Drosophila melanogaster: one gene and its partners. The protein of the gene in region 1 purifies or fractionates together with the protein of each later gene. This does not show direct contact. Each region holds a gene or a part of one and is shown in the gene's direction. Other genes may lie near its edges.

Evidence for each region.
Region 2: the proteins of not (region 1) and Atxn7 purify together in Drosophila melanogaster (affinity purification with western blotting; 2 studies listed by BioGRID, with this or other methods). This does not show direct contact.
Region 3: the proteins of not (region 1) and Gcn5 purify together in Drosophila melanogaster (affinity purification with western blotting, with the first as the bait; 3 studies listed by BioGRID). This does not show direct contact.
Region 4: the proteins of not (region 1) and Ada2b purify together in Drosophila melanogaster (affinity purification with mass spectrometry; 3 studies listed by BioGRID, with this or other methods). This does not show direct contact.

Annotation. Positions count from the first base shown.
Region 1 is NT_037436.4:18,618,264-18,623,977, reverse strand, and holds not (non-stop), read left to right. Parts: upstream 1-1,848; 5' UTR 1,849-1,865; coding exon 1,866-2,606; intron 2,607-3,145; coding exon 3,146-3,547; intron 3,548-3,608; coding exon 3,609-3,719; intron 3,720-3,786; coding exon 3,787-4,601; intron 4,602-4,770; coding exon 4,771-4,813; 3' UTR 4,814-5,172; downstream 5,173-5,714. Other genes in the region: bora (aurora borealis), read right to left, coding at 1-855, 914-1,191. UniProt on the Drosophila melanogaster protein: Histone deubiquitinating component of the transcription regulatory histone acetylation (HAT) complex SAGA. Catalyzes the deubiquitination of histone H2B, thereby acting as a coactivator in a large subset of genes.
Region 2 is NT_033779.5:2,374,024-2,381,031, forward strand, and holds Atxn7 (ataxin 7), read left to right. Parts: upstream 1-1,817; 5' UTR 1,818-2,120; exon of another isoform or gene 2,121-2,240; intron 2,241-2,309; exon of another isoform or gene 2,310-2,649; intron 2,650-3,108; 5' UTR 3,109-3,178; coding exon 3,179-4,252; intron 4,253-4,312; coding exon 4,313-6,154; 3' UTR 6,155-6,483; downstream 6,484-7,008. Other genes in the region: CG15390 (uncharacterized protein), read left to right, coding at 733-786, 843-1,616.
Region 3 is NT_037436.4:12,520,598-12,525,586, reverse strand, and holds Gcn5 (Gcn5 acetyltransferase), read left to right. Parts: upstream 1-1,572; 5' UTR 1,573-1,683; coding exon 1,684-2,942; intron 2,943-2,996; coding exon 2,997-3,649; intron 3,650-3,711; coding exon 3,712-4,241; 3' UTR 4,242-4,458; downstream 4,459-4,989. Other genes in the region: eIF2beta (eukaryotic translation initiation factor 2 subunit beta), read left to right, coding at 1-433; ver (verrocchio), read right to left, coding at 502-1,146.
Region 4 is NT_033777.3:8,236,606-8,242,225, reverse strand, and holds Ada2b (transcriptional adaptor 2b), read left to right. Parts: upstream 1-1,710; 5' UTR 1,711-1,802; coding exon 1,803-1,916; intron 1,917-2,619; coding exon 2,620-3,495; intron 3,496-3,973; coding exon of another isoform or gene 3,974-4,043; coding exon 4,044-4,123; intron 4,124-4,190; coding exon 4,191-4,788; 3' UTR 4,789-5,112; downstream 5,113-5,620. UniProt on the Drosophila melanogaster protein: Component of several Gcn5-containing histone acetyltransferase complexes that regulate nucleosome organization; involved in acetylation of histone H3, particularly on Lys-10 (H3K9ac) and Lys-15 (H3K14ac).

The DNA of each region.
Region 1 (5,714 bases):
TCCAGTCCGCCGCCCATGGGCGAGGAACTCCTGTCTGGCGTGAACTTCAATGCCGTGCGCTCTGACAACGTGTCGTGCTGCTCCGTAACGCTGATCTCTACCTTGGAGTGCACCAATCTCCGACTGAGATGCTCCGACGGGGCAATGGGCGACGGCAGCTCCAGCTCGTGCATTAGAAGTTTCCTCTTTCCCGAGCAAGTACCATTATCGGGCGTGCCAGGCGGCAGTCCGCATAGGTTTCTAATGGGTGAAAGGCAGCCGAAGCTACTTTCCCCGGATGCGGAATCCGACAGTCTGCCAGCGAACATTGTTTGCTTGCCCTGCGGACTGGAGCCCACCATGGACCTCGATGGCTCTGCCGTGTCCTGTTCGCCCAAAACAATGACATTGTGCAGATCGAAGAGTTTCCGGCGCATGGAACTATTAAAGATGTCGGGACCACCACTTGACTTGCTCCTGCCAGACAAGCGGCCAGCCAAATGTGGCTGGAAGTACGGACGCAGGGCATCCTCTAGGGCTTTTGGCAATATCGGCGGCAAAGTAAGTTCCGTTTGCACCTCGCAATCCCGCATCCTTCGCGACTTATTCGATATGGGAGTGTTGTCCTCGCTGCAATTGAGTATTATGCGCTGTTTTCGCAATGGGCAATCCACCGGACTGGGCACAATGAGTGACTCCTTGAAAAAGGCACTGATGGCCAACTGGGCCTTGGATTCCTGCTCGGGATCGGGGGAATCGTGGAACTGGGTTTCATGGGGCTCCACGTCGGCGGGTTTTAGTTGGGAGACCTCGTCAATGTTCCACTCGAACTGGGTGGACGAGAGTTGGGGTGTCCGCGAGCGGAAAAGTGAGGGGCTGCCAGGAAAAGAGAGGGTCGCGTTAAGAGGATTTTTCGAGCAGACGAAAAACTCACCTGGCGATCAGTGGCAGGTGTAAACGATCGGCCATCGCTCCTTCGAAGGGATTCCGCACCTTGTGCAGCCTTTTCGGGGGCGGGGTGCACACATTTCCCGACATCTGGGGGCTGTATTTTCCATTTTCTTTGCCGCCATTCGTTGGCGTTGCCGACGCCGCCGACGAGTTGCTGCTGTTCGAGTGGCTGTTACGGCGCGCCCGGCACTTCAATCCGTTCACATTTGTAATGTATCGATTCTTGAGGGCTTGCGGCGTTCGCACCTCGTCGTTGTACATCTTTTTCAGTCACTAAGTCGCCTAATTTCGACTTAAAATAAAACAAGCGCGCCTGCTGCGACTCGCAGGCAGATGTCGGTATTTTCAAATGCAGCAGTGTTGTATAGCGATGCAGCGGAGTTATCGAATCGTTGGCAATTCGAAAAGCAGAATGCGAAAGTGAGGGATGTTCAAGGAAAAAAAGGTGCTAACGACTGATTTGTCACTTAATATTTATTTATTCGCATATCTAAAAGTGCCTGCAAATTATTTCGACTCCCGTCTAACTTTTAGTATTTTTATTTTGCGCGCCACCCGCTGCTTGCTGTCGATAACACATCAGCTGGGCGACTTTAACCGTTTTATAATAAAATGGGACCAGTCTAAAAATAAAGAATGGTTACTGGTATACAAAATTGTATCCCATTATAAACTTGAGGAATAAGTAGCTCGTAATTATCCGAATATGGATGCATTTCAATATTTGGGCTGCTAGAACCTTTTATTGTTCCTATAACCCGAATAGAGATTCCATTTCAATATAACTTTATCTTGAATGGTTTAGTTTACTTTCTATTTAAACTAATATTCCGTTTTAAATGTTTCAATACTCTTATATTAGAAAAATACCAATGCCAACATCTGAGTACGATTTCGCAACTGGTCACACTGACAGCTGTCTTCTACCAACACATATGCGCGCGTGTGTATGTGTTTGCGTGCAGTGCGAAATAGAAACAAGAAAAGCAAGCGAAAAATCACAGAAATTCACAAAAAAAAAGCCCAACTACTTCCAAAATTGGGCCGCCCGGCGAAGAACCGCAAAAGTGGCCAAAATTCGGCGAAAACAGCGCAAGTGTGACAAAGCATTCGTGCCGCTGCAGTCGTCGGCGAAACGGGCGAAAACAAAAGAGAATAGTGTTGATAGTAATACGAGCGTATTTAGCAGTAGCAGCAGCAGCAGCAGTGGCCGAAGCTTCGGCAGGGGAACGGAACGGTGGGCGGTGGGTGCAGAAGCGGGCCGGGGAACGGCCGAGAACGAAACACTAGCAGTAGCAGCAGCAGCAGCGACAACAACAAATGCCGGTCGCTTTATCACCGCCGATCTAATCAAAACAGTTAACAGCGACAAGCAGCGAGACAGAGTAGCAAAGGGCCACAGGGACGCGAAAAACCCCCTAGATGCCACCAAACATTTGCGCCTATCGGACTGCTTGCGTACCGTGCAAAAACTTGCTATTGAACTTGAGAGCGCCGACGCCGGCAGCGACGCCAGCGCCCAAGCCAACGCTAGCGCCGACGCCAGCAGCGCCGTCATGTCCGAGACGGGTTGTCGGCACTATCAAAGCTATGTGAAGGAGCACAGCTACGATACATTCCGGGTCATCGACGCCTACTTCGCTGCTTGCGTCAACAGAGATGCGCGCGAGCGAAAGGTGAGTTCAGTAGCGTGGAAGAGAGTGGGAGCTAGAATGAGTGCGCTACTGGCGTGGTGAGGTGAGAATGTGCGAGTGTGCGAAGGGGAGAACGCAATTACAATCAGAGGTGCGCCGTGAGTCACGTGAAAGGTCACTGACACCCCGGCTGTGGGATGACAGTGGCAGACAACGCACCGTTCTCACCACAAAGCAGTGCGGACTTTTTTGAATGGGTAAAGCATGCAACAGCTGTTTTAACAGCTGACAAATTGGCACTGTGAAAAATACTTTTGCATCGAAAAAGTTTTGTTTTCATTACGGTGAAATTACATATCAAGAAAAATATATTCAAAATATTTAATATTGTTACATGGCTTTTGTATTTTTAGCTTCATATTGATTATATATTATATTGCTTACGAGATTTAGAGTTTTCAAATTTTTGTTACACTTTTATGCATTTAGTATGGGACGTATTTTTTGTAAAGTTAATGGGATTAGAAAAAAAACGAATATAATTTTTTATCAGCTGCCATTTTAAAATCTACCTCCGCCAGGCTATTCACTGCAACTGCTTCGAGTGCGGCAGCTACGGCATCCAGTTGTACGCTTGCCTGCACTGCATCTACTTCGGATGTCGGGGGGCCCACATCACGAGTCACCTGCGATCCAAGAAGCACAATGTGGCCCTGGAGCTGTCCCACGGAACGCTCTACTGCTACGCCTGCAGAGATTTCATCTACGACGCGCGGAGTCGCGAGTATGCGCTGATCAACCGCAAGCTGGAGGCGAAGGATCTGCAGAAGAGCATCGGCTGGGTGCCGTGGGTTCCCACAACCAAGGAGACCAATCTGCTGCTGGCCAATGCGAGGCGTCGGCTGGTGAGGCCCAATCAAACGATCGGACTGAGGGGTCTGCTTAATCTGGGCGCCACTTGCTTCATGAACTGCATCGTCCAGGTGGGCAAATCCAATTAAACTGGCGAGTCTCCTCTCACTGACTTACTCCTGTCTCCTCTAGGCTCTGGTTCACACGCCCCTGCTCAGCGATTACTTTATGTCAGATCGTCACGACTGCGGCAGCAAGTCATCGCACAAATGTCTCGTTTGTGAAGTGTCACGTCTCTTCCAGGTGAGTTCAATATGCTGTGGTGTTTATGAGGAGTCTTTTCTATTCGATATGCTATCCCCCTTTGTAGGAGTTCTATTCCGGCTCCCGTTCGCCGCTGTCGCTGCACCGGCTACTGCATTTAATCTGGAACCATGCGAAGCACTTGGCCGGCTACGAGCAGCAGGATGCGCACGAGTTCTTCATCGCCACTCTGGACGTGCTGCATCGGCACTGCGTGAAGGCAAAGGCGGAGCACGAAAGCAAGAGCAACAGCTCTGGCTCGGGAAGTGGAACCAATTCCAGCAACTCGAGCAGCTCGCATTGCTACGGCCAGTGTAATTGCATCATTGACCAGATCTTCACGGGCATGCTGCAGAGCGATGTGGTGTGCCAGGCCTGCAACGGAGTGTCCACCACGTACGATCCGTTTTGGGACATTTCGCTGGACCTGGGCGAAACAACAACGCATGGTGGTGTTACTCCAAAAACGCTGATAGACTGCCTGGAGCGGTACACTCGGGCCGAGCATCTCGGATCGGCGGCCAAAATCAAGTGCTCTACCTGCAAATCCTACCAGGAGTCCACCAAACAGTTCAGCCTGCGCACTCTGCCCAGCGTGGTGTCGTTCCATTTGAAACGCTTCGAGCACTCAGCTCTGATCGATCGCAAGATCTCCTCGTTCATTCAATTCCCCGTGGAGTTCGACATGACGCCCTTTATGTCGGAGAAGAAGAACGCCTACGGCGACTTCCGGTTCTCTCTGTACGCCGTGGTCAATCATGTGGGCACCATCGACACCGGCCACTATACGGCGTATGTGCGGCACCAGAAGGACACGTGGGTCAAGTGCGATGATCATGTGATAACGATGGCATCGCTCAAGCAGGTGCTGGACAGCGAGGGGTAAGAATGACCAATATATTACAACTTTATCACCGCAAAAGCAGCATTCAATGTTAACTTACTTAAGTTGATTTCACGTCTTATCTTAAATTCATATACAACGTTATTTAGCTTTTTATTCGGATTATCAAATCATTATTAACTAACTACTTATTTTCACTTCTTTCAGTTATTTATTGTTCTACCATAAAAATGTGCTGGAATACGAGTAAGAAAATCCGCTGAGATCGATTAAAGCAGCGACTGCATCCCTCAAAAAACAAAAGCAGAAAACAGAAGTCAATGCATTACGAATTACGAATAAACACAAAATACAGACAAGGACGCGGCAGCGCTTACATATTAAGTAATATTAACACAAACACGAAAGCAATCCTACAATTTGAGGAGTGTTCATTTGATTCGATTGGGGTTATTCAAGCTCACAAACTCAAAACATTGGAACGAACAATGGAGAACAAAAAAAAAGGAAATTAATGAAAATGTAATCAATCTGAACACTCGATTTGTGGAGATACCCGTTTTGCTCTAAGTATTTCAAATCCATAATACTAAAAACAAAATCAAAAACAACAAGCAGATGACTTATACATTTATATTTAAAAATCAAACAAGGGATATTCTACAAACGCCGTATTACAAATGGAAAGCGAATTTTTATCATTTTTCTTGAAATGCCTTTTATTGAAAAAAAAAATGTTAAAAACTCATTTTCAGACACATCCGTTATAACTGAACCAAAATCCAAATCATGCTTATGAATGTCATGGATTTTTTTTATTTCGTCTTCATTTAAATAAGGAGAGCAATAATTGTAAATTTAAATACTTACATTTTTGGGGGCTTAGGAAACTGGGATTAAGATACATTGCAATTATTTAAAAAACAAAAAAAAATTACAACCGACGTCAACTTGGGCTCGTCCGGGAATTGAACCCGGGACCTCTCGCACCCGAAGCGAGAATCATACCTCTAGACCAACGAGCCTGCGGTACTGGGAGCGATCAGAATGACGCTTTTTAATGTGCGAGCCCTCTCACTCCATCGCTCTGCCTTGTGCTATGAGCAGGCTAAAAAGAGACAACTATAGTGTGCGCTTGGTTCGAACGCTTG
Region 2 (7,008 bases), on another chromosome or scaffold:
TAAGTAAAAACACTTGTCACGTTCGCTCTGATACACAGAGCTTTTAAGATTATTACAAAAATAACATTTTAATTCTCTTGATTAATTTCTGGATGATTTCCTTTTCAATATCAACAATTTATTAGTTGGGTTTTTGTGTATGGATTTATGTATATTTAAAAGAAATATAAAAATACATTTCACATCCATTTATAAATTTGATTTAAGCTTTTTCACTTGAATATAAATTTTTATCAGTGTATCGATCAGTTTACATGTCGTTTTCTACATACATATGTATGTATTTACTTGTACGGTTCCAAATGGCGACAAATAATTTGAATTCTTTGGTTAAATAAGCCGGGTAGTACTTAGTTTATAACATTAAGCTATATCTCTTTCAGAGTTTGATTATAATTATGCTATAGTTGAACTCTCACACACATGTATACACACATATGTACAAAATAAAGAAAAAAAACTTACGCTGAGCTTGTAGCAGAACTAAACGATAAAACTTTCCACTGTTGTTTTTTATGCGCGACAGTTCTATTTATAAACAATTTGCTGTGCACCCGACGAGAATAACAGTTCGATGCGTGCGATTTAATAGACAATTAAGCTATAGACGAATATGGTGGGTGTACCAGCTAAACATGCCGTTGTTCACGCTTCTCGGTAACTGTCATTGCAAAGAAGAAGAGATCAGCTGTTCATTGTTTTGCTCGCCGATTTAAGAGGACATCGCCAAAAATGTTGCGGAAACTATTATTTAACACACAAGCTGTATTAAAACAACAGTCAAACGTGAGTTAATCATGAATGCATTAGATAGAAATTAGATACAAATTGTTACTTTCCAGTTACATCACATAAGGCACTTGGCAACGCCCAAGATATTGCAGCTTGAACAAATTCACATCGATGAAGCCATCAAAATAGAACCCACGTTAGCTGTATTCTCACCTGAAATCTGGCGAAGGGCCCATCAAACTTTTCAAAACCACGGCTTGGAAACCGTGAATTTCCTTAGAATAGTTACCGGTAACCCCGCGATTTTGAAAAGAACGCCGGACAAAATAATAAGCTGCCTGGAAATCTGGAGGGCCTGTCAATTCGGCGAGAATCTACTGCACCTGCTCCTTACGAAGTACCCCGAGTTACTGGACGTTAGCGACTCCCACCAGTTACTTTCCCACATCGGCTTCCTTCAAAGTCGCGTCTCCACCAGCAAAAATGTGTGGAAGTGTTTGATGAACAGTCCGGATTTGATAGCACAATCCGAGGTATCTATTGAGGAGAAACTGAACTTCATCACAGACGTGATGCGCATAGAAGTGCCGGAGTTGGTTAAATCGGCAGCCCTTACCTTGTCATTCGAGGAGCTGCGTTGTCGCCACCAGTTCCTGCTTCGTTTGGGCCTCTTTAAGCCACGACCTCCGAAAGCCGATCCAAATGAGCCGACTACGAACCCCAAACTCTATCAGATTACAGACACTTCCGAGAAGAGTTTCGCCACAAAGATTTGCCACGTCACCCTGCCGGAATACGAAGCCTTCAAGGATCTCTACGCCAAGGAACTGGAGCAAAAGTCCAGAAGAAAGGAGGAGGATGAGCTTAGTGATGAAGATGACTAATGTTACGTTTAATTATGGTTATAGTTTGTGCCAGCAAATAAACGCTTGTAAAAATAGGAAATGTTAAGTATAGTTTTCTATCGCCTTTAAAAAGATTTTAATTCATAAATATATTCAACTGACTTTTCAGCGGAAATGCATGTAATTAATATATCGGCTACGTATGCAACGAATACCTGTGCGACTATCGATAACATATCGCACTTAATCTGCAGCTGCAACAAATACAACGTAACGTAACGAGACGCGAATTGCCATCCCTAAGCAAATACAACGATATTCATAATATCAATCTTTAAACTCGAAAAAGCGAGACAAACTAGAAAGCTTTAATTGATTTCGTTACAGAATCAATTAGGCTATACAACCAACTCGTCTTTTTCGAGTTGACCTGGCATTTTCCTCCACGGAGGCCGGCCAAAAATCCGATTTATCCACGGGTAGGGTAGAACGGTAACCTAAACCCACAAAAAAAACAACAAAACATGGAAGTGTGTTAACGACGTAAGTGTCATTTAATGCCGATATCATTCGGCATTCGACTAAAATTGCCTGCGAGCATTTTAAGTGATTTTTATTTTGTGATTTTCAATCGTGTGCTTTGTTTGTGTTGCATTGGTGTGGGTAAGTGCGTGAGTGTGCTGTGCGTCGGTGTGAGTGGCTGCGCATGTGTGCGGCAGTGCGAGCGAGACGGCGCCACTCGAGTAGCGGTTGTCAAAAACAGCTGATCCAGACCAAGGGGTGCGGGTACCGAGGGGTTGGCGCTCGCGGGGGCGGGGGCAGCACTCACCTGTAAGCTTTCGCTGAAAATTTACGATATCAAAAACAACAGTTTGTTAAATTTCGAGATTCATTCAAAAATGGCAATATACGCATAGAAATACTCCAAGACGTACAGTCTTCACACCCTCCACAAGTGGTTTGTGCAGTGTCCAATACTTTTCCGTTGCTAATAAAATCTATATATGTATGTATGTATGTATTCAGGGTCAGGGTCCTGTGGTCAATGGATATGTTGTATATGTATAAGTGGGTTCTGCTGATATCTATTCATTTAATTATAACGATGGTTCTGTTTATGTTAATCCTAACGTGCACCAAAAAATTTTAATTATAATATAAAAAAATAAAGAAAAAATAAATAATTAATTCTAAATGATTATTCTTGTTTTAATTTACCTTAAATCTAAATCTAATAAAGTTGTAATCTTCTTGAGATATACTTATAAGATTAAATTTGAGTTTTAGGGTTAAACACGCCTGGTGGTGATTCAAACCACGTACATATGTATATGTAATAGAATATACGAATTTATTGTATGAAAACTAGTGATGATTTTAACATGGGCATTTCGTAGGGATTCCGTGGTCCGGGGTTCATGGTGCATAGCCCCAGATTTTGTGTTTTTTATCAGCGATGAATTGCAGTATCAGTTAAAAGCTGTCACTATCAAAGTTTCTCTGGAACTAATAAATCAATCCTGTTTTGCAGGTGCTTTAAGGGGCAATTTTGCTCGAGTGTACCGAATCCCCGGATCCCGCGAGCACAGCTTCTATCCGGAATGCCCCTGAACGATGTGGCCCCCGCCGGTGGTGGAGCTTATCCGGAAAATGGAACCAAGCACAAGGTGTCGGGAATGTGGAAGCCGGACTCGTCGGCCGGCTCCAATTCCGGCTCGGGATCGGCGGGACTATCCCTGTTTAGCCTGCAGGGCCAAAAGTGGCAGCAGGTCTTCGACATGGAAAAGGTCATCAAGCAACTGCGAACGGCTGAGAAGACGTATCTGCGTGGTGGAAAGAACTCCTCCGCCGGCGCAGATCAACAGGCGAAGGTGCAGGTCCAGCGTCTGCAATCGGCGGACATGGCCTACTACGATCTGGCGCCGAAGCTGGCCAGTCGCGATATAGTACTCTGTAGTTCCTGCTCGGGATGTTACACGAAGGCAGGTTTCCAGCACCACATTGCGCTGCAGCATCCTAGCGTCTGGGAGGCCACATCCAGCAAAGTGAATCCCAATCCAAATGGGACAGCCATATCCAGCGACTCTCGTCTCACTGCCACGGAAATCAGTCAGGAGGGCGGGGCTATCGTGCCAAGTTCGCCCACGGATACGCTTTCGGCCTCGACGCTCTCCAGTTGCTCGAACGGGTCCAGCAGCTCGGCTTCACTGCAGCATCCGGCTGCTGCGGGTTCATCCAGCACCACGTCGTCTTCGTCTTCGTCGCGTCACAAGAGCAGCAGCAGTAAAAGTAGCAGTTCCTCCTCGTCTAAGGGCAGCAGCAGCACTTCCGCCGGAAGTAGGTCGCGTTCGAAGTCGTCAAAGAACCGCCACCACTCCTCGCCAGCTCCGGCCCTGCTGGAGTCCAATCACAAGGAGTCAAAGGGATCGAAGAAGAGTTCGGCCATAGCCGCTCCTCCCGTCGTCGCTGCTGTTGTTAAGGAGGAGCCACCATCTGTGGGTGCTGCTCCGGCTGCCATAACCATGTTCTCCTCCTCCAGCAACTCATCCTGCAGCTTACCGCCCACTCCCACGTTGGGAGCGGCCTCCAGCGAGGTGGCGATGGGGGTCAACTATTCACCTGCCCAGCTTCAGACGGATGCGGAAAAGCTGCCCGAGCTGCAGCCAAAGAAAAAGGTATTTCATATAATTGTGACTATAATAACTCAATGATACAATTACCGAAATCCTCTTCAGTTGAAGGGCTCCAGCGATCATCGAATAAAAGCGGAAAAGGAGAAGAACAAAGATAAGTCTCTGGTGAATTCCTACGAGCAGCAGCAAGTGCTCAGCGAACTGGACCAGGCAGTGTCTTCCATCACGGGAGCGGTTTCCGCCGAGCAGGTGGCGCCCGATGAGGAGGAACTGCCCTTGCCCAACACCTCCGACGAGAACTCCATTTCGCAGACGCTCGACGAAATGCTGGACAGCAAGCTGATCAACGAGATTCTGAATAACTTCGATGAGAGCGCTCTGGACACATCGCAACAGCAGTCACAACAGCAAGCGCAGAATGGATCGCTATCGCATCCCGCACAGGCCACTAAAAGGCTGCGCTTTGAGGACGGAACCATTGGCGAGGATTACGCCGTGTACCAGCAGCAGGCGGTTCAGCAGGTTTATGGCGAGGAAGAGCATCAGCAGGAGCTGACCACCATCGATGCCATGCAGTTGCAGCAACTGATTTACCAGCAGCAGCAGATGCTCGAGCAGCAGCAACTGCAAGAGCAGCAGCAACAGCAGCAGCAGGATCAGAAGCTTCAGGATCACGAGCAGCAGCGCCAGTTCAGCGTCTACAACGTGCCGTCTCTGACGGATGAGGCAATGGTCAATCCACAGCAACAGCAGCTGGAGGAGCACATGATCCTGCCCAGTATTATATACGAGATCACCGAGTCGAATCCCGTTTCCATGCTGGAGCAGAAGGTCTTAGCCGAATTCCTAACCAACGCGGGCTACGAAAATGTGGACGTGAATGTCGTGCAATCGGGCGGCATACAAACCAACTTGAGTTCTGGAACGGAGGCAAACCAACTGGCGGATGAACTGGCCGACTTTGAGTTCAGTAAACTGGAGACTGTTAGCGACACCGTAAAGACTGTTAAGCTGGAGGCCAAGGCCGCCAGCCAGCCACCCACAACAAATCCTCAAATCAATCACCATCCATCGCTGGCCAATGCCAAATACCACGAGGACAGCTACTTTAACGTGATGCTGTACTCCGGAGCGCCTCGTCCCTTGGCCATGAACACGTTTGGCATGGTGAAGTTGCCCCAGGGCCTGGGCGTCACCTTCCGCAAGAATCTGTTGACCACGCGGAAGGCGAACAACAATTTGCTATCCCTGTCGGGAGGTAATCACCTGGGCGTGGTCGGTCAGCTGGCCCGCACACCGCCGCCGCCCTCGCCAGCGTTAAGCAACGGTCTGCCGGGTAAGAATCCCGCCTCGGGCAGAACCATTTACGCTCAGCGATCGAATGTCATTGCACAAGATCGCCTGAGGTGCAATAAGAGGGCGCTGGTAGGAGGAAAAGCTGGTGGTGGATCAAGCGGATCGCCGGGAGTCATGACAGCCAAGCGTTTGAATGAACTGCTAATGGGAAAGGCGAAGAAGGAGGAGAAGCCACCACCGGATAGCGAGGATGGCGGCGAGCAGCCGACGAAGGACAAGGAACGCGACAAGGAGGAGGACAACAAGCTGACCTTCAGTTTCTACGAGAAACGCCGCCGACTGTTGGCCGGCAAGCTGGAGCAGCTGCAGCCCCTCGGCCGCCCCAGCTTCACCCTGCCGCTCCAGAGCAACCACAACGCCAGCCAAAGTCAGAGCCACTCGCCACAGCAGCTCCTCAAAAAGCAGCTGCTGCGCACCTTGTCCGACAGCAGCAGCAACATGAACATCAGCAACATGAACAACATCAGCAATTTGAACAGCAGCAACACTCCCAGCGCCAACAGCAATCCTCCCTGGAAGGGGAACAGTTCCAATCCGGGAGGCAACTCCACTCCAACCAGCAGCGACTTGATGCGCGTCTTCGTCTGATCTGAACCGATGGGGAAGGTCAGATGTGCGGACACGCATCCCTAGTTATATGTTTATACAATACCATGCTATTATGTGCAGCCTCTTCTCTAATGCTAAATTAAATTGTAATAATTTTTTAAATTAATTCTTCATTTTTTAAAAGTGATAATTATCTTTTAGTTATCTATTAGTTGATTGTATGTAATTCTTTGTTTATTCTAATTAATTTAACAATTATACATATTATTTTTCGTGGCTAAGCATTATGCTAGGTACTCGTAAATCATTATTTATACACGCTGTAAACTTTTTAAATACAAGAGCATGCCTAAGTTCAATTATACTCCAGACCCAGCGTTGCCTCATTGTGTATATCTTCCTCCAAACGAGGAGCAAGTTATGATTATGTTCCATGTGTTGAGAACAGTAACCGGCGAGCGAAGGAAACCAGCTTAGCCTGCAACGGCATAGTCGACTGTTCTGATGGATCCCATGAGCTGGCACAGGTGTGTGGAAGTGGAAGATAGATTTCGAGGCAACGGCACTGGGTAAGGAACATTGCAGTGGCAAAGGGTAAGGAACAGTGCAGTGGCTGTGGTTAGCCGAAATGTGGGATCCGCCGACCATGTCGGTCAGAAATAACATAAATTGTCCGGAATAGTGTGAAGCCATTCAAAAATTCGTATTAAAATAACGGTCTAAATGGTTTACGAACACGCTAACAATATCTATCGAAGCTTAAAACCTTATAATCCCTACGGTATGCGGCACAACTATAGATATCCTTAAAACAAATAATCACTAAAACGATTAAATAAGTGCCGAATAAATAAGTTACAATTTAAAAGAATATTTTATTGTGTTAAAATTAA
Region 3 (4,989 bases), 6.1 Mb from region 1:
GAATCCGGACATGGCCGCCGGCCGAAAGCCAAAGTTCGTGATGCGACCGCCGCAGGTGCTGCGCGTGGGAACCAAGAAGACCTCCTTTGCCAACTTCATGGACATTGCGAAAACGCTGCATCGCCTGCCCAAGCATCTGCTCGATTTCCTGCTGGCCGAGTTGGGTACCAGTGGCTCCATGGACGGCAACCAGCAGCTGATCATCAAGGGCCGTTTCCAGCCCAAACAGATCGAGAATGTGCTGCGTCGCTACATCAAGGAGTACGTCACCTGTCACACCTGCCGCTCCCCGGAAACGATATTGCAGAAGGACACGCGTCTCTTCTTCCTGCAGTGCGAATCCTGTGGCTCCCGCTGCTCGGTGGCCAGCATTAAGTCAGGTTTCCAGGCTGTCACCGGCAAACGTGCCGCCATACGAGCAAAAACAACCTAAATTCTCCTTATTTAAAACTTTTTGAATTTTTATTACCAGTAAAATTTCAATACAAAAAACCAACGATACTATTTATTTGTTGTATTCTGCATTGTTTTATGCCTTCGTTGCCAGTCGGTTAGGTAGTCTACGAAGCCAATTTCCATATTCCGCGATCGGCCGCTGTCTATGAAGAACTGAAAAGCGTCCAGACCCATCTTGCCGCGGAACCTATTCGGACGACCGCGCAGGAATAGGCTGTGGCCCCTCGAGATGCGCGTGGGATCAATGTACTCCATGGAGACCTGCAGCAGCCGCATCATGCTCACGGCAATGCTCTTGTAGGCCTCGGACGAGGCCAGCGAACTGGCTTCACTGTACAGGCTGCTGATCACGCGTCCATTGAAGGGTTTTTTGGTGATGCTGGCCTCCAGGGAGCCGGTGCCATCATCGATCATGAACTTCATGAACGACTCGTTGTGCGTTCCATTGCCAGTTACAAAGGCGTAGATGATGCAGGTGCAGAAGTGAATCGGATGCACGTCGTCTGTGATGAACACATTCTCGTTCTCCGGATCCTGAGTTGCGCGCTCAATCTGGGATATGGTCAGCGGCACGTTGTCGTGGACCTCCGGACCACATTTGCCCGTGGACTTTTCACTCTGTTGATTCTTGCGTATCACGAAGTTATCCAGCTGGCTTTCTATGTCCTCGAAACTCTGATTAAAATCCATTCTATTTGCTTAGTCTGCGATTTCAAAGGGGATTTCTTTATTGCAGTGCATTTTGCATTAGCGCCAAAAAAAAAAACAGTTGTGAGCATGGGCGTAGACTTCGTATTTTCTTACAAATAATATTAATTAAAATTAATTTTGTGAGCAATTTTCACACAATTGTATTATAAGTTAAAACCAGGGTCACATTAATTTGCAGAACCGCGCAATATTTTCTTTTTAACCCCCTTACAAATTTTCAGTTGTTTTGACTACGCCCCTGCTAATTTTTACTTATTAAATTCAAAGTCTAAAAACATTGTCACCAGATAATACGAGTATACACTATATGGACAAACGTAAAATCGTTAATAGAATATATATATTCAACCATTATTTCACCACCGAGAGAAATTCATTTGCACAAAACGCCAGGTTGGCAGCACCATCATTGCGCACAGCAAGTGGGCAAACTCGTTGTATCGCTTGTGAAATTTAAGGAAAAGTACACTTTGTTCAAAACTAACGAAGAGAATCGCAATATCTGCCGATCTTGGAATGTCTGGTGGTCCATCCATAACGATAAAAAGCCAACCAATCGATGGTAACAACACGGGCAACGCTGCGGCGCAACAGCAGCAGCAGGCAGCGAATGGCGCAGCAACCGCTGGTGCATCTGGAGCCGCTGGCAGCGCCCAGAATCCAGGACACGGAGGAGCTGCGTCCGGCGCTGGCAGTGTGCCGGCAGAGGGAACGCGCCAGAACAGCCTACAGCGCATTCAGCAGCGAAAGCAAAAGGTCTTCAATCTGCCCGTGCCACAGAAACTGGCCAAATTGTCGATGTATTCCGCCTGCCAGTCTGAGGGATGCCGTTGCACCGGCTGGAAGACACCGCAGGAAAATCGCCACCGTGACGTCGAGTCCTCCTACTGTCCGGAGTTCAACGAGGAGTGCCGCAACACCAGCTGTCGCCATTCGCTGAGATCGCACATAGCCCATCTGGACAATATATCCAGTTCCAGCATGAACGAGCTACTGGGCGCCATTATAGACATGGAGAACCTATTCATGTCCATGCAGCGCGTCGAGGACGAGGACACCAAGAAGGTGTACCAGTACCTCTTCCGTTTGCTGCGCCAGTGCGTCCTCACGCGCCAGCAGGCGGTCATCCGGGGTCCTCTCGGCGATCCACCATTCGAGACGCCGTGCATCACCAAGGCTGTGCTCTCGTTGGTCTTCTACAAGTACAATCACCTGAGCACGCCTGAACTCCAAACCATGACCGAGGTGGCCAAGACGTTCTTGAACTTTCTGAACCACTACAACTTTGAATCGCCGTCGACCAGGAGAGGAGATCTCACCCACGAGGATGCCTCTAACTACAAAATCAACTACACCAGGTGGTTGGTGTTCTGCCACGTGCCCGCCTTCTGTAACTCCCTGCGCCAATGTGAAACGTCCCTAGTGTTTGGACGAACGCTCCTGCGCACCGTTTTCCAGTGCATGTCGCAGCAGCTGAAAAAGAAGTGCATCTCCGAGCGGGATCGCTTTCCCGAGGACAAGCGTTCGATCATCACGCTGATGCCGAAGTTTTTGGAAACGCTTCGCGCCGAATTGCTCAAGGATGATTCGCCCATCTGGGATACCAGCTACCGCCCGTCAAATTCCTTTGTCATCCAGCAGAGAAAGCGTAACCAGGAGGTGGCAAATGTACCCATTGGTCCCAGTGCAGCAAGCATTGGTGGAAACAAGAGGACCAGTGTGGGTGAACCGCTCCACAAGCGAATCAAAAAGGAGCCCACCGATCGTCCAAGCAGGTTGGTAATCAGTTTTTTCTTCTTTCAATACATTTACTAATCGTCCTGCCGCAGTGAGAATTTGGATGACCTGCCTGCGGATGTAGTAATGCGCGCCATGAAATCGGTGTCCGAGTCGAAGACCACCAACAAAGCGGAAATTCTCTTTCCGGTTAATGTGTCGCGGGATGAGAACGTCAAGGCGGAGGAGCAGAAGCGAGCCATTGAGTTCCATGTGGTGGGCAATTCGCTGACCAAACCGGTGGACAAGCAGACTGTTTTGTGGCTACTGGGCCTGCAGCTCGTATTTGCCTATCAGCTACCCGAGATGCCGCGCGAGTACATCAGCCAGTTGGTTTTCGACACCAAGCACAAAACACTGGCGCTCATCAAGGAAAACCAACCCATCGGCGGCATCTGTTTCCGCCCGTTTCCGTCGCAAGGCTTCACCGAGATCGTTTTCTGCGCGGTCACCATGTCGGAACAAGTTAAGGGCTATGGCACGCACTTGATGAACCACTTGAAGGACTACAGCATACAGAGGGGTATCAAGCATCTGCTCACATTCGCCGATTGCGATGCCATCGGGTACTTCAAGAAGCAGGGTTTCTCCAAGGACATCAAATTGGCGCGACCAGTTTATGCGGGCTACATCAAGGAGTACGATAGTGCTACTCTCATGCACTGCGAGCTGCATCCAAGCATTGTGAACACGCAGTTCATAGCTGGTTAGTCAAAGAATGGACAAGGAATCCATGGTCCCATTTTACACTCCAATTCTTCCTTTCAGTAATTCGCAGTCAGAGCGAGATTCTGAAGGAGCTGATCGCACAGCGCCACAACGAGGTGCAGAAAGTAAGACCCGGCTTGACTTGCTTCAAGGAGGGCCTGCCCGTGATTCCCGTGGAATCGATTCCTGGTCTGCGGGAGATCGGTTGGAAGCCGCAAAATCGTCCGGCGCGCTCATCGCGACCCCTCGAGGAATCCACCGATCCGGAGAAGCTGGCCACGTCCTTTGCATCCGTGCTGCAATCCGTGCGCCAGCACACCACCGCCTGGCCCTTCCTGCGCCCGGTGACCGCGGCCGAAGTTCCGGACTACTACGATCACATTAAATATCCCATGGACCTGAAGACCATGGGCGAGCGCCTGAAGAAGGGTTACTACCAAACGCGCCGCCTGTTCATGGCGGACATGGCGCGCATTTTCTCCAACTGTCGGTTCTACAATTCGCCCGACACCGAGTATTATCGGTGTGCCAACTCCCTGGAGCGCTACTTCCAGACCAAGATGCGCGAGCTGGGGCTGTGGGACAAATGATGCAGTGATTCCGAGGAGCCCTGCATAAGGCCGAACATTTAATCGAACTAAATTATTATATTAATTCTATTTATTTTTAGAATTCTCCCCAGCTAAAGAAAAACCCATATAGTTAGTTTGTCGTTATAGATACTTAGGTTAAGCTCAGTGTGTCCGTCTTGTTCACAGACGCGTTGTGTCTTTGGGAAGAATAAATCAGATCTATCGCCTACTCATTAACCACGAATCCACCCACTCTCCCTTCATCCAGTGGACAAAACCAATGCTGGTCAAATGATGTGTAACCACTACGTTTTTGTCTTAACTCTTTATTTCACTTTTGATTTCCTACATTCATTGTTTCGCATGCTTTTAAAGTTAGAGTTCTTCTCATTTGTTTTTATTTTGGTTTAGTAAATAATTTCAGTTATAAAATTATATCTTAGGGGCGGGAGTTTAATCGAATCTCTAGGACATTGTACAAAGGCTCATGCATACATAAATACGTGGCTCCACATCTGCGTTTCATCCTTTCCAAGGCTGCACCGGAAATGGCAAAGGATATCGTGGATATGCCGATGGTACAATGAAAATGTTAACCGTAGTTGCTTACTGCTTGAATTCAATTATCCTTTATTACATGGTATATTTAGTTTTTAATTTCCATACGTGGTAGTCTTTACAATTTAGCCATTACTTGCGAAACGTGCTTTCTTTTCAGTGTTCAACTCGATAATTGCGTATTTATATACAAACATACATATGTGGA
Region 4 (5,620 bases), on another chromosome or scaffold:
CAATCATATGCATATTGTTGGGCTGAGCGCCGCCAAAAGCCATGTCAGCACCTATTCCAGCTTCACCACACCAGTGATCCCCGCCAAGCTTAGCCAATGTTTAGACGCTTCCCAAGACGATGACGATGAGCAGCGAGAGTTTAGAGACAAAGACGAGACACCGAGCACAGCGAATCGGTTCCCATATCCGAGTGAGTATGGTGCAGAGTTTGTGGCATCTGCCGGCATGTTGGTCATACTGTTGCTAGTTGGCCATTGCCACAGGACCTTGAGCCCTCATCGCGCCAATGCCCATGACAAAGACACAAAGACTTTACATACCAAATTAGTTGATAGTTATGCTTTAGGACTACTCGCTTATGCAAATTTTGAGAGCCCATCCATCGCGGCCGCCTGCTTATGAGTCTCGATGCTGGGAGCAGGCGGTTCAGACGGATCTGGACATGGATCTGTTTCCGTTGCCAGTCGTCAATTATGACGACTGGGGTCGCGCCTGCGCTGTGACTTTTCCTTAGTTCCTTACGCAAGCGAATTCAAATCGAACCGTATCTGTGAAAATCGTGAATCTCAAACTCTTGAATGTCCTCGAACAGTATTGTTAAACATACTTCAGTCCCTAGGATCAGACGCAGGTGCGACACCAAAACCGAATTTGGCGCTCAAATAGACTTATTTAGACGTTTTTAGGTACTCGAATTGATAAATTTTGTTGGCCGTGTGCGTGTTTTTGAAAAGCGCAGCTGCACAAGTAACTTGCCATATCTGTTTAAGATCTGTTAACCCATTTTGTATCGTGTAACTCGTTTTGTTTTTCTCTGGTCCAAGCTAACTAGCAAGAGTAAACTAGCAACAATGCCACCAAAGCCACATGCAACACAAACTAGTCCTCACCGCCCACTGAGATATCTGGAACCCATAACAATTCGGCTACTGCTCGGTGTAAGACAGCAATACTAACAATAATATAAACGTATTCACCATATGAACTAATCGAATAATCAACTATTTATACAGCGTAGCCTACCCCAAATCCTTCCCAATGATTGTAATGATTGTAACCTACAATATCTCGGCAGTCCCACGCCCTATTCATGTTAGATGTAAGCAACCGAAATATTTTTCGGCAGTTATTACTTTTACACTTTTTGTTTGAAACAAAAGATATTTACCCATTTTATATTTTTTTTGTAACTCAGAATTTAGCTTAAGTTTTTAATCCTGACCACCGCTTAAATTTACGTATCGAACTGCATTTAAGCACATGAGTTTTTTATATTTTTATTCAGCACCACGCTACAAATGTTTCAACCATCACATATTCGTATTTATGTTTACCTTGTTTTGGTTTGATATGCACTTCTTTTATTTTAGTTTTATTTTATATATATTAATATTATTTTTTGTGATAATTTAAAAAAGGCAAAACACTCGAATTAAACTTTTAAAATAATTAAATAAACTACTATCAATATTTAACGCATAAACATTAGAGTTTTGAACATGTGCCTAATGTTTGAAATTTGTATTCTATATTTAATGTGTTGGTACTTTTGGTAAGTAGTATAATTTAGAAATTAACTATAATTCAGAGATTCAACAGAATTATGAAAATTAGCTAAAAAGGCTTTAAGACTAGCTATATAGGCGGCACTGTTCCGATGAACTGGTTCGGTTCGTTGGCCGTACATATAAGAATTCTCAGTAGAGCAATATGGCGTTGACTTCGCGTCTGGTCACATTACTGGCATAGGTTTTTTTCGCACAACTCATAATTGTCGTGAAAATCCAGGTTTTGGCCCAAAATGACCACAATCGCGGATTTATTCACAAAGTATAATTGCACAAATTGCCAGGATGATATTCAGGGCATTCGAGTGCACTGCGCGGAGTGCGAAAACTTCGATTTGTGTCTGCAAGTAAGTAACTCACACATACACGCCGTCGAGCGACGCACGTATACATGTTGCAGTAGGGTGGTTCGCTCTTTTTGAGGTTCTAGATACTTGTATATAGATTTGTAAATAATAAAAATCAGTTATTTTAACAAAATATTCTTGAATCACCCTCTTTGGATGGTCAAACTAATGGCCATATGGCCTCAATCCTCTAAATTAACGTCACCCAGATCTTGACAAGAAAAATATTTGCTTTAACTTTTTGTTAATTTAAAGGAAATTTGTTTATTGATTTTGGTAAATAGGTAGACTATCGTAGTTAATTTAATTAAAAATTACTTCCTTACGAATTAGCAGTGTCATTTTTATTTAGTTAAATGCCATAAATTAAAAAGAAAAAAATGTCAAAATAAGTGTCTGAATCTTGTATTAAAAAAAGGCCTGACAAAGCGTAAATTTAGGGAATATGAAATATGTTTCTGTTTTAATTTCCTAATCAAATTATTTTTATCGAGGAACTATTTACACGTTTTCTTTGTCAACATAATCGACCCACCCTGTTACACCCACACTCGTACAATCTAGAGATGCGTCGCCAATTTGGAACCAAAAACTGACTCATCTAGACATTCAAATAATACATACACACAACCGGCAATTTCACCATATTGATTAAAAAACAGCTGACTCTGTATTTATATTGTATTGTTTATTTTTTGCGCAGTGCTTTGCCGCAGGTGCGGAGATCGGCGCCCATCAAAACAACCACTCCTACCAGTTCATGGACACCGGCACTTCCATATTGAGTGTATTTCGTGGAAAGGGGGCGTGGACGGCACGAGAGGAAATCCGCCTGTTGGATGCAATCGAGCAGTACGGCTTTGGAAACTGGGAGGACATTAGCAAGCACATTGAGACGAAGTCAGCGGAGGATGCCAAAGAGGAGTACGTGAATAAGTTTGTAAATGGCACGATTGGAAGGGCCACTTGGACGCCGGCCCAGAGCCAGAGACCCCGCCTTATCGATCACACTGGAGACGACGACGCTGGTCCTCTGGGCACCAATGCTCTCTCTACCTTGCCTCCACTGGAAATCAACTCCGATGAGGCCATGCAGCTGGGCTACATGCCCAACAGGGACAGCTTTGAGCGGGAGTACGATCCCACGGCAGAGCAACTGATCTCGAACATCTCATTAAGCTCCGAGGATACGGAGGTGGATGTGATGCTTAAGCTGGCCCACGTTGACATATACACCCGCCGACTCAGAGAGCGTGCTCGCAGGAAACGGATGGTCAGGGACTATCAATTAGTATCAAATTTCTTCCGAAACAGAAATTACGCTCAGCAACAAGGACTCACCAAGGAGCAGCGCGAGTTTCGGGACAGATTTCGGGTCTACGCCCAGTTCTACACGTGTAACGAGTATGAGCGGCTATTGGGATCACTGGAGCGCGAAAAGGAACTGCGCATTCGACAGTCAGAGCTGTACCGATACCGGTATAATGGCCTGACCAAAATCGCGGAATGCACACATTTCGAGCAGCACGCCGCAACAGCGACGCACCGCTCTACAGGACCATATGGCCATGGCAAGACCGTAAGTTTAAGGCTCCGCAACAGGGGTGCCGAAATCGAACTAACCATTAAATATTTTATTTGGTCTTGAAAATCCGAACTTTTTGGAACTTTGTTATTTTTTTTTTTATTATTAAAATCCAAACATTACCTTTTCTTTCGATTGTTTCACAAAAATTAAAAGAGGTGTTAGGTGACCGGAACCGGTAGCTTTATAATTTTATCAACAATGAGTAGATTAACTTAAATTGAAAGAAAACAAATGATTTAAGTTGAATGTATAGATAAAAGTTTGGATAAATCGATTTGGAATACTTAATACAGAATATTAAATGGTCAAATTGGCTAGTTTCGATTTCATTCCCCTTGGAGTAAGCTTTTCCCACTGAGAATGCATGACGAGTTGAATATCGTGTGTTCTGCCTTGCTTTAACCGTCGTCCTTACCTGAACTGACCCAACTCTTACAATCGCTTTTCCGTCTTGTCTCACGATATTCAGCTCCACTGCATAATAAACGCGCCAAACAACGAGCGTTCGAATGGTTCTATAAGACAATGTTTAACCACAGGACCACACGCATACCTCCAATGGAAGTCATCGGCCGCCAAGCTCTTCCTTGCACTCCCCACAACCGAATCTCAGAAAGGTGTAAGTATTTTGGCAAAAAATTGCAATTACCTTAGAACTTGAATAATTCGGTTTTTCGTTTATTTAGCGAAATGTCAAGCGGCGGCGAGGCAAGTTCAAATTCAATCGCACCAAGAAACACGCTCCACATCGCCGACCCGACCTGCTCCGGCGCATTATTGCCCAGCAAAAACTACTTGGATAGCTGTCGGGGATCGTCGGCAGCTACGATGCTGCAGACGACGGGAATGGTAATGGGGGTAACAGTGGACTCGGGAGCGACGACGGGAGTGACTTCCACGGCTACGACGATGGCGAATCTGCCAACGAACTCGGCGAAGGGAAGCCAACAACATCTGCAGCCGCTGCAGCAGCATCCTCAGCTCCTGCAAAGCGGCAACCAGCACAAAATGCAAAACGAGGCCGCCGGCGGAGGCAGTGATCAGGTGCCCAGCATGAGCCTGAAATTGCGCACCCAGCTGGAGGAACTAAAACATCTGCCACAGCCGCCGGGCAGTGAACTGCTCAGTCACAACGAGCTGGATCTGTGCAAGAAGCATAATATTACGCCCACCACCTACCTCTCGGTTAAGACTGTCTGCTTGAGCGGAGCACCATCGTTGGGTAGTCCTATGGAGACTTCGCTGCGCAAGTTCTTTATCAAGTGCGGCTGGCTGAGCCACTGAACATCTTCCAACTTCCCGCTCCCCTTCGATTAAGAGCCACATGCATTTCCAAGGACTTCACTTTATTTTTGTATTAGTTAGAATAGGTTAAAGACATTTTTATACTGTTCAACTGTCGTTGGCATTTTCATCAAGGTAAAAACTACAAAACTGAAAATCAATTTACTTGTATCAAGTCAAGCTCAATTACAATAAGTGTTGTTCCTTTGTGTGAGATGTCGGGATTCAGATATTGTGTATTAACTAAGCTTAAGTAGGGGACCCAACCAATTGAATATGTATGATATGAATTGTAAATGAAGTAATAAATGTAATAGTGAATGTACAACAAGGACGCGACTTGTTTCTCGGATCTCACAGCTGGGAGACCGCTTTGGACTGAATGCCGCTAGGATATGTAAGAAGTAAGGTATTGAGTAAGCCTCTGATAGCGATAATACCGCGTTGAGTATTTATATTCGTATATTATTTCTTATGGTAGCTAGTTTTCTAGGCAAGATTCTGAACAATGCATTTGAACGTAATTCATTAAAGCCCATGAGAGCATGATAATCAATGTACTAGGCTGAGGAATGGAAAACAATGCTGGAAAAAATATATAAATATCTAATATGTTAACACATATGGAATGTTTTATAAATTAGCGAAGATTAAAACTTGTTAAATGAAAATGCGGTTATCTAATGACATTCTTCGGTATTATAAACTTAACAAAATCACTCATTCAGTTCAAGAAACCCACTAGTTATTTATCCTAGCTTATGTTCGTCCAATGCGGCACCCTAAAGCATGCACTCTGTAACCGTATACCTACAAAAATATATCATATATT